Canis lupus familiaris: one gene and its partners. The protein of the gene in region 3 purifies or fractionates together with the protein of the main gene of each other region. This does not show direct contact. Links are inferred from orthologs where the notes say so. Each region holds a gene or a part of one and is shown on either strand. Other genes may lie near its edges. The genes, in order: RHOC, EZR and ARHGDIA.

Region 1 (4,148 bases), on a different chromosome or scaffold from region 3:
CCCACCCAGGGGACAGAAAATAGATTTCTGGTCCAATCCGCCAACTGTGAGATCCTGGACACCTAGAGGGGGGCTCCAGGGTTGGAGCCCCTTCTGGAAGAGCTGGCTTTCACCTGCTATATACCAGGGCTTCAAGTCACACTCTGTTACCAGGATTTTGATACTTTTAAAGTTTAGCAATCACAAGGGCCCTATCATGGACACGTCGGCCCTGGCTCAGAGCAGGTCATGCCCGCCCCGTTGCAGTGAGGAGTCCCTCTCCAGACCACAGGCTGGCACAGCCAACTACCAGGGGACAGGTGGGTAAGAGCAAGTCTGCTGAGCATTTCGGTAAAAACCATCCCCCTCAGTCCCCAGAAGCCTGGGAAGGTAGAGGGTGCGCTTCCATTCTGACAAACGGGAAACAAACCTAGGTGAGGTTAGGACTCGTGTCAAAAAAAAAAAAAAAAAAAGGACTCGTGTGTCAGAGCTGGGGGGGCGGGGGCACACTGGAAGCCAGGCTCCATGACTCTAGGGTCTGTCACCTTTTCTACGGATCACCTCAGAGATGGGAAAGAGAGCCGAGGGAGGGGAAACCCAGGGAGGGCAGTGGCAGCAGCCAGCCAGCCTCCCCGGCCCACCCCACCCCATCCCAGTCCCCAAAGCTAGCCCCAGTCGCACAAAGGAGGCTCAGTCCCCGCGGTGCCCACAGCCCACATTTGGGCAGCCTGCCCTCCTCTCCCCATCCTCCTGGGCCCTGGCGGCAACACTGGGTCACTCAGCCCCAGGCAGGGGACAATGACCATACTGTGGGAGCAACACATCCACCATGGGCCGAGTGACACAATAATCTACTAGGGAATCACCTCCACCCACTCCTGGAACAGCCCCTTCCTCCCCTCTGTCTAGCTCACCCCAAGGCCCTGCCCACCCCTCCCTGTGACTCAGGGCAAGGAGTCAGTTTGCCGAGGTTTCCGTAGGGTCCCAGCCCCAGCACAGCCGAGCGAGCACCAAGCCTCCGCAGCCTCCCAGCCTCCTAGCCCCGGATCTGAGCCTCACTTCCTCCCTCCCTGGGGACAGAAGCTGCTCTCCAGCCAGCTGAGGCTCCCCCAGGTCTGCGGCCTCTGAGGAAGAGAGGGCGGACTTGGAGCCGGGAGGCGGCGAGGCCGTAGGGAAGAAGGAGGGGGCCAGAGGCGGAGCTGGGAGGAGCTCCCAAAACTGAGCAGAAAAGGGCCAGTCCCCACACCAACCAGGCAGCCAGCAGTTAAGGGAGAAAGGGATGGTAACCTGATCTCTGCCCCAAACCGGGCTTTTTCTCTCGGACCCACATCCTGTCAAACTGGGCTGAGCTCCTGGACTCCTCAGACCACCACCACCCCACAGCCCTGGCTTGTCTGCCTTTGAGGAAAGCAAGGAGTCTGAGCCCAAAGCTAGTTCTCTCCAACAGTGGGATCCTGGGTGGCCTCCCTCCACACACACACACACACACACACACACACACACACATACAAGTGGGATGAGAGGAAGTGGATGAGTCAGAGAGAATTTATAGGAATTCAGAGGATACCGCCACACTGTCCCCCCCACAAAGGGGCTCTCCCCCTAGTACCCCAAAAGATAGGCAAGGCACTCACTGTGCCAGCAGGTCCCCTCCAAAGATGGAAACCACCTTCAAAAAGGGAGTTCTCCCTGGAAATTCTGCCCAAGTGATTAACTCCCCCGTACCCAGTCCCGCTAGTTCCATTGGCCCAGCTGGGCGAAAACAGGCTGGGGGCACCTGGGATGGGCAGTGCTGATGAAGGGCAGTCACGTCCACAGTGAGAACCGGTTGCTTAGATGTGAGCAGGCCACTCACTGCCTCCCTGCAGCAGGGCATTTAGGTGGTACCAGATGGTGGGAGGCACAGAGGCCAGAATTCAGGGGCAAGGGCATGCATTAAGTGATCTGGAGCCCCCAGCTCAATCCAAAGACTTTCCCTTCACGCTCTCATTGGGCAAGAAAAGCAGCTGGCTAGGCCAAGCCAGGCCAGGCCAGTAGGCCCAAGGCCAACCTGGCAAGGAAAACAGCTCCCTGTGAAAGGCAGCCCCACAGGAACTGCCCTACTGACCCTCAGAGGGGCAACAGAACCCAACACAGAGGCTGGGATGCAGCCCACCAGCTCCTGGGCCTTCCCTAGGACAAGACGAACCACCCTCTCCCCTCAATCCTGCTCCAAATTTCCAGATGCCTGAGGGTGGGCTGCAGCCTGCAGACCAGCCCTGAGGGCTGGCGAAGAAATCAGATACCACGTCGACTTTCAAGCCAGAAGTGAGGGCAGGACTCAGCGCCGGGTCCTCCGGCCCAAGCCCCGTAGGGCTCCGGGAGTGCCAGGGAGGGAGGGGTCTGGGAGAGAGGAGGTCCTCTTCCGAGGGAGCTGCGCCTCCGGCCTCCCCGGCTCCCGGCTCCCGCCCCAGGACCGCTCGGGAGCCGTCTAGGGGGGCGACCAGACCTCGGCGAGCGGCGGCCGCCCCGGGGTCACACCGCGCCCCGTGCCCGGATTCCCACCTCCGTCCGGATGGGGGCCGGGGCGTCGGGCCGGGGGCTCCGTCGCCGAGACCGGAGTCGCCTCCTGGCTTCTCGCCCGGCGGGGCGGGTTCCGGGAAGCCGGGAAGGGGAGGCCGGAGGCCCCGCGGGGCAGCGGCCGGGCCAAAGCCCCCTCCCCGCCGCGCGCCCGCCCGAGCCGCGGCCGAGCGGACGGAGGCGACGGTGCCCTCCGGGGACGAGTTCCCGGGACGCCCCGCCACCCCGAGCCCCGCCACCCCGAGCCCCGGCCCGGCCCGGTACCTTCCGCTCCGCCGCCTCCAGCTGCGCGGCCAGGGCCAGAGGCTGAGACTGACCCGGGGAGGGGGCCCGCCCTCCTCCAGCGCCGGCGGGGAGGGGAGGGGGGGAGGGGGGGAGGGAGGGAGGGAGGGGCGAGGCGGGCCCCGCAGGGGGCGGGGCCGCGGGGCGGGGGCGGGGCCACGGGGCGGGGCGGGGCCGCGGGCGGGGCCGCGGGCGGGGCCGCGGGCGGGGGCGGGGCCGCGGGGCGGGGCGGCCCTTGGCTCCGGCTGCGCACGGCCCGGCCTGGGGCCGCCGCGGTCCTCCCGGGCTGCGGGGCCGGGGTCGCGGGGGCCGCGCGGCCGCTGACGGAGTGGGCGGGCCCCGAGGGGCCTCGGCTTCCGCCCCGCCTTGCAGCCCCCGGGGGAGTCGGTCTTGGGGAAAGTTGCGGGGCGCTGCGGGGGGGGGCGGGGGGAGGGCCGCTGCTGCCCCCCCGTGGCCGAGCGGCGCCCCGCGCCCGCGCCCACCCCCGGGGCCCCGCCCACCCGGGACGGCCGCTCTCCGCTCGGGAAGTCCTGAGGGGTCGGTTCCGTCCAACATCACGCCCCGCCCCTGGGACTTTTCGGATCCTCTGAGACCCAGGCCACAATCCCCCTCCTTCCCCGCGCTCGGCATTTCCTCGGGTCGGTGACTGTGCACCCCGAAAGGGCACTCCTGGAAGCCTTTCCTGGTCTCAGCCGGGAAGCCACCTTCCGTCTCCCGGGCGCTGCCTCTGTGCCGCTGGGGACCCAGCCGGTCCGACACGTCGCGCTGGGCCCTCATCTCCGTGTCTGTCTACACTTTTCCCGTTCAGGTGGCTGAGGAGGATGAGGATGAGGATGAGGAAGCCTACCAGGATGTTACTAGTTTGTGACCTGTTGGCTACATAGCTCAGCCCTCTTACTACTCATCATGGATCTTTGGGTTAAGCATATCCATCTCCTTTTGCTTGTAAGGATACTGAGGCTCAGACAAGTGGCTTGCCCAAATTTTTGCGATCTGTATGAGACAAGTGAGAGTTCAGTCAGGGCCATCTGGCTCTGGAGCTGGTGCTTTCTCCCTGCTTGTCCTCTACACCCTTCCCACCTGTCCATCCCCACTGCCTGGCACACTGTGTGGCACATCTCACCGTTTTTCAAGAAATATTCTCTGAATGAACGAATGTCAGAAGTCATGTAGCCTTAAAAGCTCTGAAGTGCAGACCACACTTTTGATATAAACGAGTAAGCCGAGGTCCAGAGAAGTTGGGTCCCCAAGCCTCTTCAGGTGCTCAAAAAACATGCACTGAGTGTGGACTGGGAGCTACGAGCTCAGTTCAGATGGATTTCTGTCCT
Region 2 (2,825 bases), on a different chromosome or scaffold from region 3:
TCCCTTGTGTGGCCACTATTTATGACGCTCCTCACTGCCTGTGGGCACTGTGCTCAAGCACCCTCCTACCTGCTGTTACCCCTAAATCTTCCAGTAACCTCTCCTAGGTACACATCCCCAATCATGCCCACCTCATTACCACTCCGTCCCTGGAGGTGAGCTTAGTTTGAACCTCTTCTGCAACCAGCTTTTTCTCACTCCGTACTTTATAATGAACACTTTCTCCAAAAACCTAAGGATCCAACTTGCATGGGGGTGGGGTGGGGGGATGGAGCTTAAGAGGAGATGTGAGGGAGGAACCAGGTGTCCCCAGAAGGAGCCACTACAGATGGGGAAGCACAGGTAAGGACAGTGGGGTGGGGCAGGCGGCTGCCACAGCTTGGTAGATGTCTACACTGAATATATCCAAAGCTCCCCTGGGGACCATTTTTCCCAGCAGGCATGGGGGGCTCAGCTGGAGAGGCAGGCTCTCTGGACACTGCAGTGGAATGTGGTTCTTCCTATTACAGCTGCAATTTATTAAACCTCTCTGCAGCATGGTCCTCGGAGCAACCTTACAGGCTGGCTATTACTCCCTACCTGCAGTAAGGAAACGGAGGCATGGAGAGGTCAGGCCACGTGCCCCATCACGCTGCATAAGAGCAGAGCTGCGACCCTCGCCCTGTTTTGGGACCTCCAAGTCCAAATCTTTCCATGGTGACATGGTGTATGCACCAGCGGTCAGAAGAGGCAGGAGGTCTAGTTTCAGGCCCTGTGGCCTGTTGCTAGGGGCACCCACATGACCAGATTTAGAGCTAGTCCTGATGGAGCTCTGGGGTTTGTTAACTCTGCTCCAGAGCAGAGGGGTGGAGACGGCCAGAGCAGAGGGGTAGAAGTGAACAAGAGGCTCCTTGTTCCCTGCTAATCCAACAGCGGCCTCCCCAGCGCACAGGGCAAGCCCATTCCTACAGGGATTCTGGCCTAAGAAGCCCAACTGGGACTGGTAAAGCATCGCAAAACATCCCGAGGCTCGCTACGCCACCCAACAGCCTGGCCCTGGCCGCCTTCTGGCCGTGTGCCCCCACAAGGTCTCTGGCCTGCAGACTCACCCGGTGCTGCCACTCCTCGACCTCGTCCTCCTTGCGCCGCCGCGCCTCCTCCAAGAGGGCGATCTTCGCTGTGTACTCTGCTAGTTCTGCGGCCTAGTAAAGCACACGAAGCTCAAATTATTTCTGGGGCTTTTTGGGAGAGCCCTTTTGCAAATGGACAGCCACACAGTTTGGTGACTGGCCTCATTCCCCTGCTCCTCCCCAGCCGGCAGTGCCCCCTGCTGCCCACCGTGTCCTCAAGGCCATGCCTCACCCAGACCACCACGTCCAGCTCCCGGGATGCCTGCAGCAGGGCCACCGAGGCCCAAACAGCAGCACAGCCCCTCCCACCAGGCTTTACTCTCTCAAGCAGATCGTTTTACAGCCCCAGACACAATCATAAGGCAGGCGTCACTTCTGCATCCCCAGAGGCAGCCTCTCCATAATTCAGCATCATGAAACTCAGGGAGCTCCTACCAGCTGCTCCTGGCTCTTTATCTGATCTGCTGCCTGCCTCTCCAGCTCCTCCTTGGCCCTCAGGGCGGCCACGCGGTCAGCCTCCAGACGCTCTGCCTCCTCCTGGGCACGCTTCCTCTCCTCCTCTAGCTGCAGGGCTCTCTGAATCTGGTCTGACAGTTCTGGAGAGAACACAAGGAGAAAAAGAAACCATGGAAGCGCCCATTGATCCCAGTGCCAGAACATTCCCAGTGAAACAACTACGGTCTTGTTAAAGGACCTGGAACACGATGGGGAGGAGGGGGGGGTTCCCTAGATTTACACAACTACCCACACTGGCTCCAGAGCCTGACAGCAATGCCCCAGCCTTGCAGGGCCTAGAACTCGTCGATCCCTTGCTTGGTGTTGGCGGACACGCAGAAACTGCACCACTCGCCAAGTTTTTGGTTTGTAAGACGGGGCAATGTACCATGGTTTGGGCACTCACTAGCCACGTGACCTGGGGCAAATTACTTTACCTGCTAGCCCTTAATATTGTCATCAGGAAAATGGGGAGGACTCAGTATTAGCCTCAAAGGAGTAAGGGAAAATAAAAAAAAAAAGATAATGTGCATAAAAGCAGTTAGCAGAGCATCTAAAGTACAGGAATATCTTTAACACAAAGACCCATCATCGTGTTCTCTCAGCCACGAGTCTCTGCTGTGGGTCTTGTTTTAACCTGCGAAGTTCCTGGCTGTGGGCAAGCTGACGGTCCATCTGCCCCTTGCTGTGGAATGCACCCCTGCGAACACAACCACTGGGCACAAACCCACCTTTCTCTGCTTTCTTGGTTTTCTCCTCATAGTCCTGCAGCCTGAGCATCAGCTCCTCCTTCTCCCGCATCATCTGCTCCTTCTCTCTCTCCACGGTTTCTCGCCTCTTCTTCTCAGTTTCCAGCTGCTGCCTGTTACAGGGTGAGGGACAACACAGCAATGTCTAGATGCTGGCAGGCACTTGCCATGTCAACACACATCACCAGTGCCCAGTCCAGGCCCCAGGCCCATCCTCTGGATGGTACCGACTTAGGAGGTGGCAGAGTCAACACTGAGCACACCCCTCCCGGGCTGATCCTTGGGACCCACACGGTAACTTCCAAAGGCCATCACCCCCCGAAGCTCCGTTTTGTTTGCTAGGTGATGTCACCCTGGCTCCTCCCCTGGGGAATGGTGCGGGCCCTACGAGGCTGCCCATTCTGGGAGAACACCACCCCGTCCTGCTGGCCTCCACCCTGCTTACCGCTCCAGCTGCTTCTGGTGCTTCTCC
Region 3 (4,095 bases):
GGCTGGGGCCTGCGGGGTGGGGCCGGGAGGGATGGGAAGGGTAGGCCAGGGAGAGCAGACCCGTCAGCACTTTGGTAAGGGGTTGGGATGGGGTGGGGGCAGTAGGGGTGGGGCGTGTCAGACAGGTCCGTCTGTCTGTCCGAAGGCCTGCCCGCCTCCCAGGCCAGGGCTCAGTCCTTCCATTCCTTTTTGATGGTAAGGTTCCACTCCCAGGACAGGTGGTCAGTCTTGTCGTCGTCTGTGAAGCGGGACTTGATGTTGTAGCTGCCGCGAGCCAACATACCCTTGGGTGCCTCCTCCATGGGGGTCAGAAACTCGTACTCCTCTGCCCGGGGCCCGTAGCTCCCCACCATGTAGTCGGTCTTGTCAACTGTGTGCAGGAGACACACTGGTCACCGGTGCTCCCGATCCCACCAGGGCTAAGGGCACACACCACCATCTTCCTCTCCCTCCTGGTCCCAGAGCCCTGGGCGGCCACCTCCACCCTGCCCCCTCCCACAGGCCACCTAAGTGGTGCCACGCCATCTCGGGGGCAGGGCCAACCCCCGACTCACTCTTGACGCCTTTCCTGTACGTGTGCTGGATGTACTTCATGCCCGACACAATCTCCCGGTTCACCTGCAGGGGGAGAACCCAGGCAGAGCTCGGTGGGGCCCTCCAGGCCCGACACCTCCCAGCTCCTCCCACAGCCTCTGCCTTACTCGGAAAGAGATCTTTATCCGGTACTCCACGCCCTCCTTCAGCACAAAGGACTGCTTCTTGAAGCTCTCCAGGTCCCCTGTGCCCAAGAAGATTGCACTAAAAGGCTCAGCTGCAGGAAGCTGCCCACCTCAGCATCTCCCATCTGCAGCGCCTGGCGCTCCTTCGGCCCCCACCCTGACCCCACCCGCCGCCCAGGTCCCTCCAAAGCCAGAGCCTGCAGACTTCCTGGTTGCGCTTCTCGCGCCCCCCACAAGGGGGCACCCGCGTTCCGAGAACTAGTTTCAGCGGAAACAGCAGGGTGGCAGGCGGGAGGACCTCAGTGATGCCACTCACCTGTCAGGTCCAGCTCCAGGGGGCCCGGGGCTGTGCTACACACCAGGGTCAGGCGGGTCACAACAACATTGGGGACGTTGGGGTCTGCGGAGGGAGAGTGGGTTGGAGTGCCTCCCCACCTCCCACTTGCTGGAGGCTGGGGGGTGGGGCTGGCGGCTGAAACCCAGAAGTGACAAGCATCCCTTTTGGTGCTGCCTCAGCCCACTTACCAGCAGACACGGCTACGCGGCCCAACAGGGCCTCCTTGTACTTGCGCAGGCTCTCGTCATCCTTGTCCAGCTCCTGGATCTCCTGGATGCTCTTCTGGGCAGGGGGCTTGTAGTTGACAGAGTGCTCATCCTCCTCGTTCTCAGCTGCGATCTGCGCGAGCTGCTCAGCTGTGGGCTCTTGCTCAGCCATGCTCACTCCTAGCTGGTCTGGGACACCTGTGGGCAGGGACAGGGCTGTGTCAGCCTGAAGGGACGCACATCTCCCTCTCCTGCCTCTCAGCAAGCCCCCCCGCTGGTGCAGGTGCGCTGTACTGAAGGGCCCTCTGCAGGTAACCCGGCCCCTTGTCTGGGCACAAGGGGATGTAAGCCTTCGGGAGGAAAGCAACTGCAGACTCAGCTTCACCCCCCAAACAGGCTCCTAAGGCCCAGAGAGGGCCACACTCCTTGCCCTGCCCACCTCGGGGACCTGCTGGAAACTGGGACAGAGCACCCAGAACCAAGTGGGGCCTGCAACCCGCTCCTTGAAAAGACCAGGCATCCCTCTCCCAAGCCTGGGGGAGAAGACAGCACTCCCAGCCCCGACAGGGAGGGGTCACCTCTGAAGTCCTGAGATTCTTCTGCAGCTGCCCAGACTCTCTCCCCAAGCGACACCTCCTCCTGGGTCTCCCTGACCAAACACACTCCCTGGGCCCGGTTCTAACAGGGAAGCAAGTCCCCACAGCGCAGCTCTGGTGACCCGGCCAGCCCGAGTCCCACAGGTGGGTCCCGGCCCCTCACCAGGAGCCCTAAGTACCCGCCAACCTCTTCTCCAACGGCCAGGGTACGTGAGCCACGATTTGGGAAGCGCGGCAGTGCCCACATGGTCTCAAGATCCTCCTCCGGGATCCTGGCCCCGGGCGGCTCGGACAGCGTGCCCCGGGACACGGAAGCCCGCTCGGGTCCTCCGGGCGGCGCGGGAGGTGGGCCGGGGCCCTGGCCCCCTAGACCTCGGCCTGCCCGTCCCCACGGACCGGCGGGCCGCCTGGGGTCGCCTGGGGCGGCCCGAGCCCCACAAAGGACCGCCGCCGGCGGGGTGGGGCCAGCCGCTGTTCCAGGCCTCCCGGCCGCTTCCTCTGGAATTCCTCTAGAAGGCTCACGCCCTGACGCCACCCAAGTGTGGCCGCGGGGGACAGGATCCTCCGAGAGCGATGGCCGCGGCCCACACTTCCTTCCGCAGCGCTCCGCAATCTGGGCGGGCGGGCGCGCCGCGCGGGGAGGGGTGCTCGGGACCACGCCGCCGTGAGGGCGCCGCGCCCGCCATCCCCGGGGAGGGGGCGCCGGCCAGTCTGCCGGCGAGCAGCGGCGCGGACGGGGGCGCCGCGGGACACGGGCGGTGGCCCCCGAGGAGGCCCGCGCCCACCCCGGCGAGCGGCGCGAACAAAGGCGCGGCACCCCCGGCCCCGCGGCGCCCGCCCTCCCGGTCCCGCCCCGCCCCGCCTCGCCCTGCCCGCCGCCGCCGCCGCCGCCGCTCACCGGAGGCTCGACCGCGCCGCTCTCGCGCTCCCTCCCGCACGGAATGACGAACGTCGCCGCCCCGCCCGCGCGCGCCCGGCCGGCCACTTCCGGGGTCACGCGACTTCCGCTCGCGCCGGGCGGACGGCGGAGGGCGGACGGCGCATGCGCGCGCACGGGCCGCCGGGAGCGCGCCGCCGCCATCTTGTGGAGCCGGCCTCCGTGGGCGCGTCCGCGGGGGCGGGGCCGGGGCCGCTCGCGGGGCGCCGGGTGCTCTCCGGTGCGGGGCGTCCCCGGGTCCCGGCGCGGCGGAGGGGGGTCCGGCCCCGAGGCGCTCCTCGCAGCCTAATCCGGAAGCTCCCGGTGCGGCCGGCCCGGTCGCTTCCGCCCGCCCTTCCCCGAGGCCGGCAGGTGTCCGAATGAGCCGCGCGCGCCGCCGAGCCCCGGCAGGTGCCGCCCCCCCCCCCCGCGCCCCGCCCTCGGCCCGGCGCTCGGCCCCGCGCGGCACCTGTGCGGAGGGAACTGAAGGCAAGCTACGAACCTGGCTACCGGTTTGGAGATATTTTTTAGTACCGGGGGAATATGTGCAGATTTTGCGTGACGTAGGAGCCGCGCGCCGGCTGTGTGTGCAGAGCCTCGGCTGTGTGTGCAGAGCCTCGTGGTGAGCGCCTCGGTGTGCTGCTCTCCCGCTTCCCCTGTGCAAGCCCGCACCCGGCCCGCCGCCCTACACGCCCAGCGGCTGGGAGAGGAAAAGGTCGGCTTGCAGATCACCCAAGTGCTTTTGAAAAACAAAACAAAAAGTAAAAAAAACCAGCTGTAGGAAAATTCAAACACATTTTATACGTGATCTATTACAGTGTAAAAACGTTCCCATGGTATTTAGCAGCTTGACACAGCAGTTCTACGGCTGAGATCAGGGAGCTGCTTGGCAGGCGGCCCTGGCTCCTGGTCTGTGAGGTCGCAGGCCAGCCGCCAGCCAGAGCCCCGGTCCCTAGGCTCTTGCAGATGCTATGAACAGGAGTCTGGTTCCTCCTGCGCTGGAGGACTCAGTGCCACCTGGCACTCCCAACCTCTCCAGAGGGCTGCCCACAGCAAGGTAGCTGACTTGTCCCAGGTGAGGCCTCAGAGGCGGACAGATGGACCATGGACAGAGGACAAGAGCCGGGAAACAGCAAGCACTGGAGGCGAAGCTGCACTGGCTCTTAGAAGCTGAATCTCAGAAGCAAGGTCCCTGGTGCTCTGCTCACACAGACCTGCCCCAGGACAGTGTAGGAGGGGCCACGGGGTGAGAAGACGGGCCGGCCAGGCCGTCGGGCCCTGTCTTGCAGGTGCCCCACCACATGCACCAAAGTCCAAAGAA

What was found.
Region 1: the proteins of ARHGDIA (region 3) and RHOC purify together in Homo sapiens (affinity purification with mass spectrometry; 4 studies listed by BioGRID and IntAct, with this or other methods). This does not show direct contact. The link is inferred for Canis lupus familiaris from reciprocal best matches to the Homo sapiens genes ARHGDIA and RHOC.
Region 2: the proteins of ARHGDIA (region 3) and EZR purify together in Homo sapiens (co-purification; 3 studies listed by BioGRID and IntAct, with this or other methods). This does not show direct contact. The link is inferred for Canis lupus familiaris from reciprocal best matches to the Homo sapiens genes ARHGDIA and EZR.

What each region holds. Positions count from the first base shown.
Region 1 is NC_049238.1:63,590,784-63,594,931, reverse strand, and holds the start of RHOC (rho-related GTP-binding protein RhoC), read right to left. Parts: upstream 2,912-4,148; 5' UTR 2,803-2,911; intron 1-2,802. UniProt on the Homo sapiens protein: Regulates a signal transduction pathway linking plasma membrane receptors to the assembly of focal adhesions and actin stress fibers.
Region 2 is NC_049222.1:48,655,556-48,658,380, forward strand, and holds part of EZR (ezrin), read right to left. Parts: coding exon 2,799-2,825; intron 2,467-2,798; coding exon 2,336-2,466; intron 1,706-2,335; coding exon 1,545-1,705; intron 1,182-1,544; coding exon 1,089-1,181; intron 1-1,088. UniProt on the Homo sapiens protein: Probably involved in connections of major cytoskeletal structures to the plasma membrane. In epithelial cells, required for the formation of microvilli and membrane ruffles on the apical pole. Along with PLEKHG6, required for normal macropinocytosis.
Region 3 is NC_049230.1:1,242,160-1,246,254, reverse strand, and holds the start of ARHGDIA (rho GDP-dissociation inhibitor 1), read right to left. Parts: upstream 2,886-4,095; 5' UTR 2,757-2,885; intron 2,184-2,756; exon of another isoform or gene 2,046-2,183; intron 1,461-2,045; 5' UTR 1,435-1,460; coding exon 1,245-1,434; intron 1,120-1,244; coding exon 1,036-1,119; intron 779-1,035; coding exon 702-778; intron 619-701; coding exon 555-618; intron 371-554; coding exon 171-370; 3' UTR 1-170. UniProt on the Homo sapiens protein: Controls Rho proteins homeostasis. Regulates the GDP/GTP exchange reaction of the Rho proteins by inhibiting the dissociation of GDP from them, and the subsequent binding of GTP to them.